Linked DNA regions of Mus musculus. The protein of the gene in region 3 purifies or fractionates together with the protein of the main gene of each other region. This does not show direct contact. Links are inferred from orthologs where the notes say so. Each region holds a gene or a part of one and is shown on either strand. Other genes may lie near its edges.

The links. The genes of interacting proteins can lie anywhere in the genome.
Region 1: the proteins of Gid8 (region 3) and Rmnd5a purify together in Homo sapiens (affinity purification with mass spectrometry; 5 studies listed by BioGRID and IntAct, counting the BioPlex papers as one, with this or other methods). This does not show direct contact. The link is inferred for Mus musculus from reciprocal best matches to the Homo sapiens genes GID8 and RMND5A.
Region 2: the proteins of Gid8 (region 3) and Mkln1 purify together in Homo sapiens (affinity purification with mass spectrometry; 4 studies listed by BioGRID and IntAct, with this or other methods). This does not show direct contact. The link is inferred for Mus musculus from reciprocal best matches to the Homo sapiens genes GID8 and MKLN1.

Annotation. Positions count from the first base shown.
Region 1 is NC_000072.6:71,437,808-71,442,251, reverse strand, and holds the start of Rmnd5a (E3 ubiquitin-protein ligase RMND5A), read left to right. Parts: upstream 1-1,614; 5' UTR 1,615-2,112; coding exon 2,113-2,254; intron 2,255-4,444.
Region 2 is NC_000072.6:31,397,460-31,401,657, forward strand, and holds the start of Mkln1 (muskelin), read left to right. Parts: upstream 1-1,368; 5' UTR 1,369-1,397; coding exon 1,398-1,495; exon of another isoform or gene 1,496-1,738; intron 1,739-4,198. UniProt on the Homo sapiens protein: Component of the CTLH E3 ubiquitin-protein ligase complex that selectively accepts ubiquitin from UBE2H and mediates ubiquitination and subsequent proteasomal degradation of the transcription factor HBP1.
Region 3 is NC_000068.7:180,716,708-180,720,464, forward strand, and holds part of Gid8 (glucose-induced degradation protein 8 homolog), read left to right. Parts: intron 1-151; coding exon 152-349; intron 350-1,130; coding exon 1,131-1,304; 3' UTR 1,305-3,757. UniProt on the Homo sapiens protein: Core component of the CTLH E3 ubiquitin-protein ligase complex that selectively accepts ubiquitin from UBE2H and mediates ubiquitination and subsequent proteasomal degradation of the transcription factor HBP1.

The sequences.
Region 1 (4,444 bases), on a different chromosome or scaffold from region 3:
TGCAGTGTGGCAGCTAAAGAAGGAAACAGCTTCAGAGGGGTCAAGTGAAGGTTGCTAAGTCAGGTCCACTCCATCCCCAAGCAGGAAGAACTAAAGTACAGCCAGGCAAGGACGCTCTAGACAGCAGTAAGATGATGCCAGGCACCCTCGGGCTTGTTTTACAAAGGAAGAGGGCCCTTTCTTCTTTTGGATGCCTGAGTATTTTCACAAAATGGATGGTAGCTAGAAAACCTTTTGAGGAGAATGGCAAGATTGATGGAGCTAAAAGGTTTTTTATTTTCGAGAAGTAGGAATCAGGGCCATCTGCCAAGAAAGAGGACTAAAAGCAAATGGCGTGATGAGGGACAGAAAGGAGCCCTGAAATACCATCAGCTGAACTTCCAAATATCCAGGACCACTAAAGGCCATCATATATAACCACCCGCCCACTAGCTGCCACATTATAAAAACGGAAATTGAACTTTAAAAAGGTTACCACCTGAATTAAAGGAAAAGAAAGACTGTCCACCAGGGTGCTGGCTGTGTTCTAGAAACAAACAGGCCACAACAAAAGGGGTTACCCTTCATAGTATTACTTAAGTGGTGCAACCAAAACAAGCAAAACTCCAAACAATTATTATTTTAGACTTTGACAAGTGATGTGTGAGAGAAAAAAAAAATTGTGCTGTAAGAGATACAATGAATTGATGGAGAAAATTCGGGGAGGCAGAGGTGATACAACCATGGTGGAAGTAGGAATGCTATGAGCAGGCAAGCAAGCTGGCAACTGCAGGCCCAGGAAGGCGGACTCTCCCAGGCCCAGGCTGTGAGGCAGGGACTTGACGAAAAGCTAGTAGGGTAGAAGCCTGGTGAGCAAGAGGGCACAGGCCAAGGCCAGAACCCCGTGGTAAACCAGGGCAAAAGCCCTACGCCAAGGTAAGGGCAAGGAGCAAGGGCCAGGTTGCTCAGCTCGCCCACGCGTGTTCGTGACCGCCGCCAAGATGCCCAGCACGTGGACAAGGCGACAGGGAAGGCCACTTGCAGGCCGAGGGGCGTCAAGAACGAGCCAACGCTGGGCGCGGGCCATCCCTCTAAGAGCTACCACCTTCCATCGGGTTAGTGACCCCGCCCGGGCCCTCCGCCACTAGGCGGCCAGACAGACATCCTTTGGCCCCGGAGGTGGGCCTCTCAGTCGAAACTCCGGCCAAAATTCCATGCGGAGAAAACACAAATTGCAATCAGGGCGAAATCCTGGAGAAAACAGCCCCGTTAATTGCTGTCATGTTTCCCCTCGCGGCTTCCCAGTAGAAGCGCCAAGCTCCGCTCTTCAAGCCAACCCCCCTCCAACAGCGAGCGCATTGGTTTGGCTCCTCAGTCTGGATTGGCTGAAGTTTTACGCCTCGGCCCAGGATTGGAGGATGTTTGTCTCGCTCCTAACCCCCGCGTCGATTGGTCACTCTTCTGCTTCTGGGCGGAGCATCCGGGGACGGTTTCCACCCTCTTGTTTACCGGCCGCGTAGTTGACGCTATCGCTAAAGTTCCCTGTTCAGCTGCGCGGGCCAATTGCGTCGCTCGCCCCGCCCTCGCCCCGCCCTCGCCGCGCTCCCTCACGGCCTCCCGCGTGGTACGGCCCACACCTTCAGAACGCCCGCGCGCCCTCCGCCCGTGCTCGCCCGCTGCTTCCCCCTGACCCCTCGCCGAGTCCGCGATTGGTACGGCCCGCGCCGCCTCCTCCGCTCGTGAGGGAGGCTCGACCCCCTCCCGGGCCGCGGCTATTGGTGCCGCCCGGGAGAACCAGGTCATCGGCCGGTTCCCGTGAAAACAAAAACAATCGGCGGCGCCGCCGAGGGGCGGCCGAACGCGGCGAGCCAGGGGGGCCCGGGGCGAGACGCGGCGCCGGGTAGGGCGGGCGAGCGAGCGCGAGCGGCGGGGCCGGGGCGCCATGGGGCGGGAGGGCACAGGCTGCGCGGGGCTCCCCCGGCGCCGCGGCTAGCGCGCCCGTCTTGCCTTCGCCTCCCGCGCCGCCCGCTCGCCGCCTTGGGGGAGGAGGAGCAGGACGCGGCCTCGGTGGGGCCCGGGCCGAACCACTGCGGACCCCCGGGCGCCGGGGAGCCGAGCGCCGCGGTCTCCGGCATGGATCAGTGCGTGACGGTGGAGCGCGAGCTGGAGAAGGTGCTGCACAAGTTCTCGGGCTACGGGCAGCTGTGCGAGCGGGGCCTGGAGGAGCTCATCGACTACACCGGCGGCCTCAAGCACGAGATCCTGCAGAGCCACGGTGAGGGCGGGCGCGTGGGCGCGCGGGGGTCGGGGCCCTGCGCTGCGTCTGCTGGTCCCCAGGCCGCGGCGACCCGCCCGGAAACGCGGTGGCCTGGGGCGGGGCTGGGGGTCTTGCGGGGTCCTGCGGGCCGCAGGTGTGCGAGTGATAACGAGGGTCTGCGCAGGACTTTGTCTAGTTTTCGGCCTCGCAGACTTTTCTCCCTGATGGTTCTTAGTTTAACGTTCTTAGCTGTGGGTTGGTTTCTACATCATCGGCTGCTGCAACTTCAGAGTTGGACTGATGTGGGCAGGCAGTTCTTCTAAACTCTTCCTAGGAAGCCGGCCGATTTAAACCATTCAGCGTCCCTGCTGTAGCCTCTGTACAGTCCGACCGGGCAGATGTCGAGTTGCTAGTTACTTACCTAGTCCAGTTTGTACTTGTTAATAATCCTTTCAGAAAACAGCTTTTCCGTAGAAGGTGTTTTGCCTACGTTATTTCATCAGTGGCCCTACGTCTTGTACCACAGATGCCAAGGCTAACTCTGAGAAAGAGTTTTGTGTTTTAAAAATAACACTAAAGGTCTGGTACCTTGGAGCCACAATGCTGACTCTTTCTGAATGAGAGATAAAGGACTTGTAATATTATGGATTTACTCAAGAGTCCGGGCCCTTGTCAGTTTTGTGGGCTGAACAGAAATTAAAGGGATATTTATTAGTCAGGGAGAAATGAGGATGTAGCAGGTGAGATTAAGGCAGTGTTAGCCCTGCCTCTCCTCTCCTTTCCTCTACACCTTTATTTCCCAAACACTTCAGTTGTGGGTGACTGCTCCTCCCTGGTAAAGGAGTCTGACAACTTCTGACACAGCTGTCACTTTGGAACGCTGTATAAATATATGCAAAACATGTTGATGGCTTCATGCGAAAAGATTATTTGACTGAATTGATGGTGATGGTATACTTGATGCTAACAGAATAAGGTGGGGTGTGAGAAAATCTGTTGAATTTTGACTCATGAGATTAAAGGGTTTGAATATATGTGAGGTGTATATATAATATATATATATATATATTACATATATACATACACACATATATGGATAGATATAGATATTCTTGGAATATATGTGAGCTAAAATTGGTTGTTTTCTTTTGCTTGTGGTGTTTTGAGGTAAAATCTCTCTGTGTGGCCCAAGCCAGCTTTGAATTTATAATCTTGTCTTCATCTTTCTAGTGTTGGGATTCCCAGTGTGCCCCTCTGTGTTTTCAGATATTTCTAGAAGGACAGTGGAGATCATAGGATGTGAGATGAAAGATCTTAGGCTCTAAACACAACCAAAGTAGAGCAGAAATGAAAAGGGCAGAAAAGGATAAAAAGAGAGCTGCTTAGCTGGTACTTGACATTTTGTGGACAAACCAGATTATTTCAGGCTAAGAAAAAAATAGTGCATACCGAAGTAGAAGGCAGTCAATCCAAGGTGGTCCTAGCTCAGGGCTTAAAGACACCGAACACCCCCCTTTCCCAGAGGACATCTTTGTCTTTTGACCGAAAAGGAGAAAGCCAGTAGGGGACGAGAATGAACATAGGGCCTACACCTGGAGAGGCAGAAGGAATACTCCCTTTTGGGGGACCAGGTCAGAGATTGAGGGGTTGCTTGAGAGAGAAAAGATAGAGAACAGAGTCCTTTCCAGAAGAGTGATTATGGAAGAGGAGAAGTGGTGGTGAGGTTTGTTTTAGGGAAGTTGCAGTCAGTTCCAGATGGTTAAAATGATTGTAAAAATTGCCAGGTCAGGGATTTTAGGCCTCTTTGCTAGTAAGGGAATGTTTCACAAAGCCTGTGGTGTGAGGGGTAGTAGGCACAGTGTATATACCATGCTGTTATAACAGGTAGTGGGGCTTGTTCTTGATTGGCAGCCTCTTTTTTTTTTTTTAAACATTTCTGTGTAACAATGCCTCTGTGGCATCTGTTATTTTCCTTTAATCAGTTGACTAGAATTAAGTAATGAAAAGTAGTTAAACACGAAAGAAATACATACGGATATTAGGTCAGGTTCTTAAGGCAGTCTTGTTTCTTTTGAGTGAAGATAAAGATAAACATGCTTTGGTATTTGATTGCGGGTTTCTTTTTTTCTTTTTCTTCTTCTTCTTCTTCTTCTTCTTTTTTTTTGGTTTTTCGAGACAGGGTTTCTCTGTATAGCCCTGGCTGTCCTG
Region 2 (4,198 bases), on a different chromosome or scaffold from region 3:
GATAATTTCTCTGTAACTAACTTCCTCCATGGTAGGCAGTTATCTAACTGAAGTCAGTGGGGTTAGAGCATTACCTCAGGGGTCATTACCTCAGGGGTCATTACCTCAGGGGTCAATACCTCAGGGGTCATTACCTCAGGGCTCATACTCATTCCCAACAAAGTCTTAAACACTGAGTATACTTGTGGTCTAGCTGACATTGCTAGTGGTATCATAGTAGAGGCTACTGCTAAAATTTCACCAATGGAAACGAAGCCAATAAAGAATTGGAGAGATTTGATGGGCCGGTTAACGATCATAATCAAAAAGAGTAAAACTATTGGATCATTTATTGAGATACTCTTTGCTTGAGTTTTTAATATCCTCTGGTTGACACAATGATGCAATCCAAACTTCCAGGAGTCCAACCTCTTAGGCAGGGAGTGACACGATTTTGGGTGATGCCGCTAGGTAAGCAAGGGCATATTTATAACCCTGACAAACAGGTACTAGACAGGAGCATTATCTAACTTTGCCACCTATTTAGGCCAGATGTTCCTTTTGTGATAAAAAGCTGGAATGATGCCTGCTGTCAGGCTTCATGAACAGTATGTATGTTGGAGGTGGGTGGGGTGTACTCATTATTCCTTCTGAAGAAGACGCGATCTTTTCTCAAACATCTCTCTCTTTCCAAACATTTGGGCTAAATTTATGTTAAAATTCAAAGCAAGCAGATTTAATGCCGGAGACAAATGATGGCACACAACTTTCCAACTCTGAGCATCTTCCTGGTATGTGGGCGAATGTCATTTCTGGGTACAACGATGCCATCAGAATATTAGTAAGAGAGGCCGACAAGAAATGTTTACAGACTGATAGCAGAACACACTAGCTGTTCCTTTATCTTGCCTCCACCTGACCCTTGAACACGGTGACAAGGACATTTTTACCCCAGGTCAACTGCAGAGACAAAGGCCATACGTTATTATTGCACTTCAATTCTCCTCACCTCTGTTTCCGGAGAGGATTTATAAACAGGCTAGAGCAGTGGTTTCCAAAGTAGGAAAGATGGAAAGATATTCCCTTCCCAAGCTCATCGAATTTTCCCTTCCTATTCTAGGAGACGTTTCTTTCTTTTTTTTTTTTTTTTCAAAATGTCCTTGGCTTTGTCTTTACCTGAGCTTGTATGAAAAGTCCTCTGTGCCACTCCTCTGCCAGCCTCACAGGAAAGGAAAGCCTCCCTGGGAGGGTCAGCTAGGAAAGGACAGCGTGGGAAACCCGAGGAAGCGGCCTCCAAGCAGCCAGTGCCGGCCCTGCGCGGTCGGGTTCCCGGCGCGGCCCCTTTAAGAGCAGGCCCCGTCCCCGCCCTCCTCCTGGCGGGGCTGGCGCTCGGTGGTGGCCGCTACGGTGCTGACAAGATGGCGGCTGGCGGGGCTGTTGCTGTGGCGCCGGAGTGCCGGCTTCTGCCCTACGCGCTGCATAAGTGGAGCTCCTTCTCCTCCACCTACCTTCCCGAGTAAGTGCGGGGCCCCGCGCTCGAGCTGTCGGAGCCGCTCGGTGAGAGCGCGGCCCGCCAGAGCGTGCGGTGTGGGGAGCGGAGCCGAGAGAGGCCCAGGCGGGGCCTGTGACGGGGAACGCGCGGCCTCCGGAGCTTCTCAGTGCGGCGGCCGAGTGCTCCGGCCTGGCGGGCCGAGGCCGGGCTGAGGGCCCGGGAGCGAGCTCCGGGTGGCGGCGGCGAGGCGGGCTTGCGCAGCGGGAGGTGAGGCGGAGCGGAGCGGGGCTCCGGGCCCGGGCCGCGGGCGAGCCTCCCCCGCCGTCGGAGGTGGTCAGGGCGACGACGGGGGCCCGGTCCTTCCCGGACGGCTCGGACAGCGCCGGAGTTCCTGAGCCCGCAGTAAAAGTGCTTAGCTCTGCACGAGTGGCGAGAGAAGTTGGGGAGTCCATCCGCACCCTGGCGAGAACTTGGAGGACTGGCAGAGGGGTGTCTTGGCTTTTTTTGGACGGGGGGGGGGGCTGGAAGTTCTGAAAAAGATAGGGAAGGAGGGCAGGTCTGGGGGCGTGCGGCTTGCCCGAGGGCACCACCAAGTCAGCAGAAATGGCCTTAGGAACACAACGAGGAACGGGTGCAGTTTTCCGTTGCTATTCGAATAAAATTGCTACATCTCCGGAGTGTCCTGAACAGGGAGTGTGTTCCATTCGTATTTTTAAAATTCCTCCCGTTTGTTCAGATTGGATTTCTCGAGTCCAGTCGGTCAGGACTCTGGAAGTTGAAGCTGCGGGTGAAGAGTCAGCCTCCGCGGACTGCCCACCTGCCCTCCTCCTAGTCACCAGGTCAAGGGTTGGCACTGAAGCCTTGTAGCTCCCGCCCAATGAAGGCTGACCTGTGGTCTGATCTGGCCGGTTGTGGCCTGTTGATAGCTGGTACATGGCCACATCTCTGATTGATATTGGAACCCAGCTTTTAATTTGAGGGTGAGCTGGATAAGCACCGACCTTCATTTGAAGTGGACTTGTGGCTGTTCATTCTGTAAACCTCTGTTTTTTTGTTTTTTGTTTTTGTTTTTTTTTGGTAGTTTTTTCTTTTGGAGGTGTGTGTGTGGTTGTTTGTTTTGGAGGCCTTTTTAAGGTTGTTTGTTTTGACTGACTCCTTTGAATCTGAAGATAACATTTTTTTTTGTGTCTAGGTTAGAGAGTTGGTGGTGTGTCACTAACTACCTCGAATGACTTTTTCCACCCCCAGGTCTTTGGTTAGATAACTTACACTTTAGGTTGTCTGCCATCGCTTTACCTTCTGGTGTAGGCATGAGACTGGGATAGCCCAAATCCCAGTTGCATTACCTGTTGTATGGGCATGTTAAGGAGAGAGGCATTTCTAAAAGGAGTCTTGATCTGGTGGGATAGTGGTTTTAGTCAGCCTCCAGTTTGGAGTGGGGACAGCACCTGCTGTTCCAGTTGGACTGCAGCTGGAAGAAGCCATTGCTATAGCTTCCTTAAGGCCACAGAGAAAACAGTTTATTTGCACTTAGTACTTGCACTTAGTGTATCTTGTTTAACCACAAAGACATTTCAAACATATAGTATAGTTTTAATTTTAAAGCCCTTTAGAGTTAAGCAGTCCGGAGTGAAGGAGTGCAGATGAGCATTAGGAAGCTTGGGTTTGAGAACTTTGTTAGGCAGGCTGGTGTGTGTCTGCCTTAGTTGTAAAATTCTTGGTTCTGAACTTAGGTTAGCAAGTATACGTCTTTGTATGACAGGAAGTTTAAGAAAGAGATTGGTTTCCCCGCCCCCTAAAATGACCTCTAATGGGGTGAAACAGTGGAAGGTATTATGAAATGTCTCAAGCAGGTGTGATTTTTTTTTAAGGTCTAGCCAGCTATTTGTTGAAATTGTTCAGCAAAGAACAAATATTTATTGATAGAAATCTAGGCATTTTGGGGTGATGGTAATAATTACAAAAAATGGCAATTACTTATGCCTTTCACATGCTAATCTTTATGAATACTTCAAGTGTTTTAGCTCATTTAAACCTTAACAGTCTTCTAAAGAATCCCAAAAAACTGGGCATGGTGTTGGGCCTGGATGGAGATGCCTGTAATGCAAGCCCTTAGGAAGCAGAAGCAGGAGAATGACAAGTGTAAGGCATCCTGGGCGACATAGTAAAGTAAGGCCAGCCTGGGCTGTGAGATCTGTGTTGTCACCTGTGACCTCAGATCTCCATTTTCCAGATGAGCAAACAGGGATGAGAGGTTCAAATTTGCCTCTGGTCATCCACCTAGGTGAGGACAGAGCTGAATCCAGAGGACCTGCTCCACAGTTCTCCACCCAGTGTGCTTTCTTGACTGCTTTTGTCTGAGGGTTTGTAGAGATTAGAGGGGATTCTGTTAAAGGCGCTTGTGTTAAGTTGTTTATAGACACATACCGGCTGGAGAGAGTTTGTGAACAAGCTTGAGGACCTGAGTTCAAATGCTAACATAGACAGTCTTCAGTCTTGTATGGTGCACTTGTGACCCCATTGCTCTTGGTGGGGTAGAGACGGGAGGATCCCTGGGGCTAACTGGGTACCAGCTTCTAGGTTCAGCGAGAAAAGGAACAAGGCAGAGAGTGATAGAGTAGGCTACCCTGGGTCCTCCTCTGGCCTCTCGGGTGCACAAACACAGTTATCTCTGTACACATAGGTGCATATATACTACATATGGCTAGAACCCTCCCTCCCACCCCC
Region 3 (3,757 bases):
ATAAGATATACTTTTGATTGGAGCCAAGTGTTGATGGTTATTCATCTAAGTGTATGCCAGCCAAACTTGGTTGTCTTTGCTGTTGACCATACTGGGTTCCACCTACTGGGTGTACAGGCTGGCTAATCTTGTTTGTCTTTGTTTTGACTAGCAACAACACTTGATTGAGCTTATCCGTCAGCGTGAGACAGAAGCAGCATTGGAGTTTGCCCAGACACAACTGGCAGAGCAGGGTGAGGAAAGCCGAGAATGCCTCACAGAGATGGAGCGCACACTGGCCTTGCTGGCCTTCGATAGCCCTGAGGAGTCGCCTTTTGGAGACCTCCTTCACATGATGCAGAGGCAAAAGGTAAAGGGCCAGTAAAGGAAGAACAGAGTGCTTAGACACTCAGAGGACTTGTGAAAAGATGGTACTGTGCTGCGCTTGTGTTGGGGTGAAGCACATGGCTCTGGGCCAGGATACTCCAGTAGAACACTGGCAGCTCCACTGATCTGTCCCCTTTTACCTTGTGAGAGGAAGAGCAGCGCCATTGTGACTGTTAGTGTCTAAAACCCTTTGCCACTTTTTCTTCTCTTAACCTTTTTCCTATCAGTTTAGAGACAGGTATCTGAAGTATTTTCAGAGTAAAATCAGTATAGTCTCCTGAAATGTTTTCTTTTTCCTTCCACATGCTACAAGCATGATAGTTCACTGCTTCCTAAGACCCATGTCTTCCTTTCCCCCTATGTTGGATCCGTTGAAAATCTTGTTGAGGTGTCTCTTTAAAGCTTGTCTGCAGGGTCTCATATAAGCATTGTGAAGCTCCTCTCTGTCAGAGTCCTCACAGAACTGTTGAGGGGAGTCAGGGTACTTAGCCACCCTAAGTCATTTAGTGCCCTTGGAGTGGCTTTTAGTTACTTGTTTCATTTGTTTTTAAGTGACTAACAAGCATCTTGGATGAGAACAGTATCTAGATGGACTGGACTATATAGCTTAGAGATAGAGTGCTTGCCTAACCTGCTTAAGAACCTGGGGTCTCGCCCTAGCACTGGGGGAAAAAAAGATGTCTTAAGCATATTGTCAGGCTTGCTGATAGTGTATGTATGTGGGGGGGGGGGGGGCATCTCTATTAGATGTGTTTCTTTTCTAGGTATGGAGTGAAGTTAACCAGGCTGTTCTGGATTATGAGAATCGAGAGTCCACACCCAAGCTGGCAAAATTACTGAAACTGCTACTTTGGGCTCAGAATGAGCTAGACCAGAAGAAAGTAAAATATCCCAAAATGACAGACCTCAGCAAAGGTGTGATTGAGGAGCCCAAGTAGAGCCTGTGCATGGACCCAGCACTGTCAATAGGCACAGGACTCTCCCTCCTCCGGCTGTGACTGGCAGATTGTCACCACAGTAGAGAACCTTTCCCCTGTACTTTTCTTTGGCCCCATTGTTTAAAAGGGGAAAATGGCCTTTTTAAACCCTGTCAAGCCCATGATGGAAGACACCACCTCTGCCATGCCCTGTATCCCGAGAGCTGCACACACTGCTTCCAGATTGCTGGTTCCAGAAGATGTAATTTGCCACTGTGTGCTGCACGGCTAGGGAGTGTCATCTCAGCTGAAGGCCTCACCCAAGACAGGCAGACAGACATGAACATTACTGATGTGCTTTTCCGACCTGCTATGTGCAGGCAGGCAGGGGTTATCTTCCTGGGTCTCACAGACTTTCATGGTTTTCCTTACCCCTTCTTTTCTTTTTCTTCCTCATTTTGTTCCTTCATAGGAAAAAAATGTATAAATTTGTAAATCTTAATTCAAAGATAACTTTTGTGTGGGTATTGAGTTTGGATCGGTTTTTTGTCTTGGTGTGGGCTGTGTGGCTTTTGGGAGGGGATGTGTGTGAGAGAGGTGAGGTTGTGGTGGTTTTTATTTTTTAAAATATATTTTTGGTGCTGTATGTGATGAGAGACTCATTCATAGTGGATCAATGAATAATCTCTTGTAGGTAACTTTATTTGAAAATAAAGATTTCCTTTTACTTCCAGAATAACCACAATGGCTTCTAAAAAGTTCTCATCTCACACAGCCCTTGTTTTGGGTGTCCTTTACCTTGCACAGGGGCAGCACCTTAACTCACAGCTGAAAGACTAATTGCCATGTGCCTAGGGAATGCCCTGCGTAATAAATAGCAAAGCAGCCTGGTGTTGATGGGATGACTGGCTGGCATTACCCAGCTGGATGTTCATGCTAGCCAGATTGAACTTAAGTCATTTCTTATCTCTTCCTTCAGTGTCAGCAGTGCTGTGTGTCCTGCTTCTCATCAGCCATTTTTTACCTGCTCAGTGGAAGGCAGAAAAGACATTACCTGTAGGGTATGGTATGCACATGTAGGTCGGTGCTCTGAGTGATGAGTGTATACATGTATTGTGCCTGACACCGGTGTGTTTGATTTTTGGCAGTGGTCCAGGCCTGATGGTGTCAGTGCTAAAGGCTGGGGTGGGGGTGCACAAACCTGCAAAGCCCTCAGACAGTTATCCATGGATGTGGATGGTGAAGATGATGTGGGTACTGTCCTTTGGTGGAAGTTCCTGCCTGTCTGACACTAGAGCCAGGAGTTCTGGTACTGGCCATTAAGAAACACTGTTCTTAGTAATTACTGAATTGGGATTGTTTCCCTTGTTCTTTTTTTTTTTTTTTTTTTTTTTTTTTTTGGTTTTCTGAGACAGGGTTTCTCTATATAGCCCTGGCTGTCCTGGAACTCACTCTGTAGACTAGGCTGGACTCGAACTCAGAAATCTGCCTGCCTCTGCCTCCTGAGTGCTAGGATTAAAGTTGTGCGCCACCACGCCCGGTTGTTTCGTTGTTCTTGAGCAATATTGACTAGCTAGGTCAGACTACATTTATTCAAAAGTTTTCTGGCACCTGAGCTGCTCAGATAACACAGCTGACCAGCTGTCTCTATCTTGTTCCCTACTTCAGTATTGTTCATTGGTATCTGTTTTTTACCCACAGGATTCTGTTCTTGTTGGGATGGAATGAAGTGTCTTCCAGCTCTCTGCTTCTACTGCAGAGGGCAGGTACTTTGGCAGTATTTGCCTTAGGATCACATTAGTGACAGACTCAAGGATGAAGTTGTTGCTGTCATTATGACCCTGCACTGCTCTTCTGGTCTGTGAGTAAGGAGTGAGCAGAGCTTTCCTTACCTCCTGGACAGGTGGCTTTTTAACATCATTGTGAGATGTAACCTCCCATCTGGGGTAAGGATAAGAATAAGGTAGAGGAGTTTCAGGAGAGACGTGCCTTTGGTTAAGAAGACATGACAAATAATCATGAAGACCAGAGTCCGGCACCCAGAAAAGTCAGGCATCCCCCAAATTCCTGTCACTTCAGTTCCAAGGAATCTGATGTCCTCTTTGGCCTCCACATACACATAGGCAGGCAGGCACAAGAACACACACACACATACACACACGTCTTTTTTTAAGGCAGAGGAAAAGGAAGTTTTAATTTTCAGGTAGCTAATAGATTAAATGAAACAGAAGTTGGGAAGGAGTATCGAAGATTAAGTGTTTGTTTTTAAAGCACCATATAAAGCCAGGCATGGTGGCTCCTGCCTGCAATTACAGCATTTACAAGGCTGAGGAAGGGTTTTTCCAGTCCAGCCAAGGCTATATTATACATAAGATCTTTTCTTATATGAAAAAGTACCAGATAGCTAGCATATTTGTATCTTTTGTTAATATATATATATGATTACTTATATAGCTAATCACTTTGACGTGTTC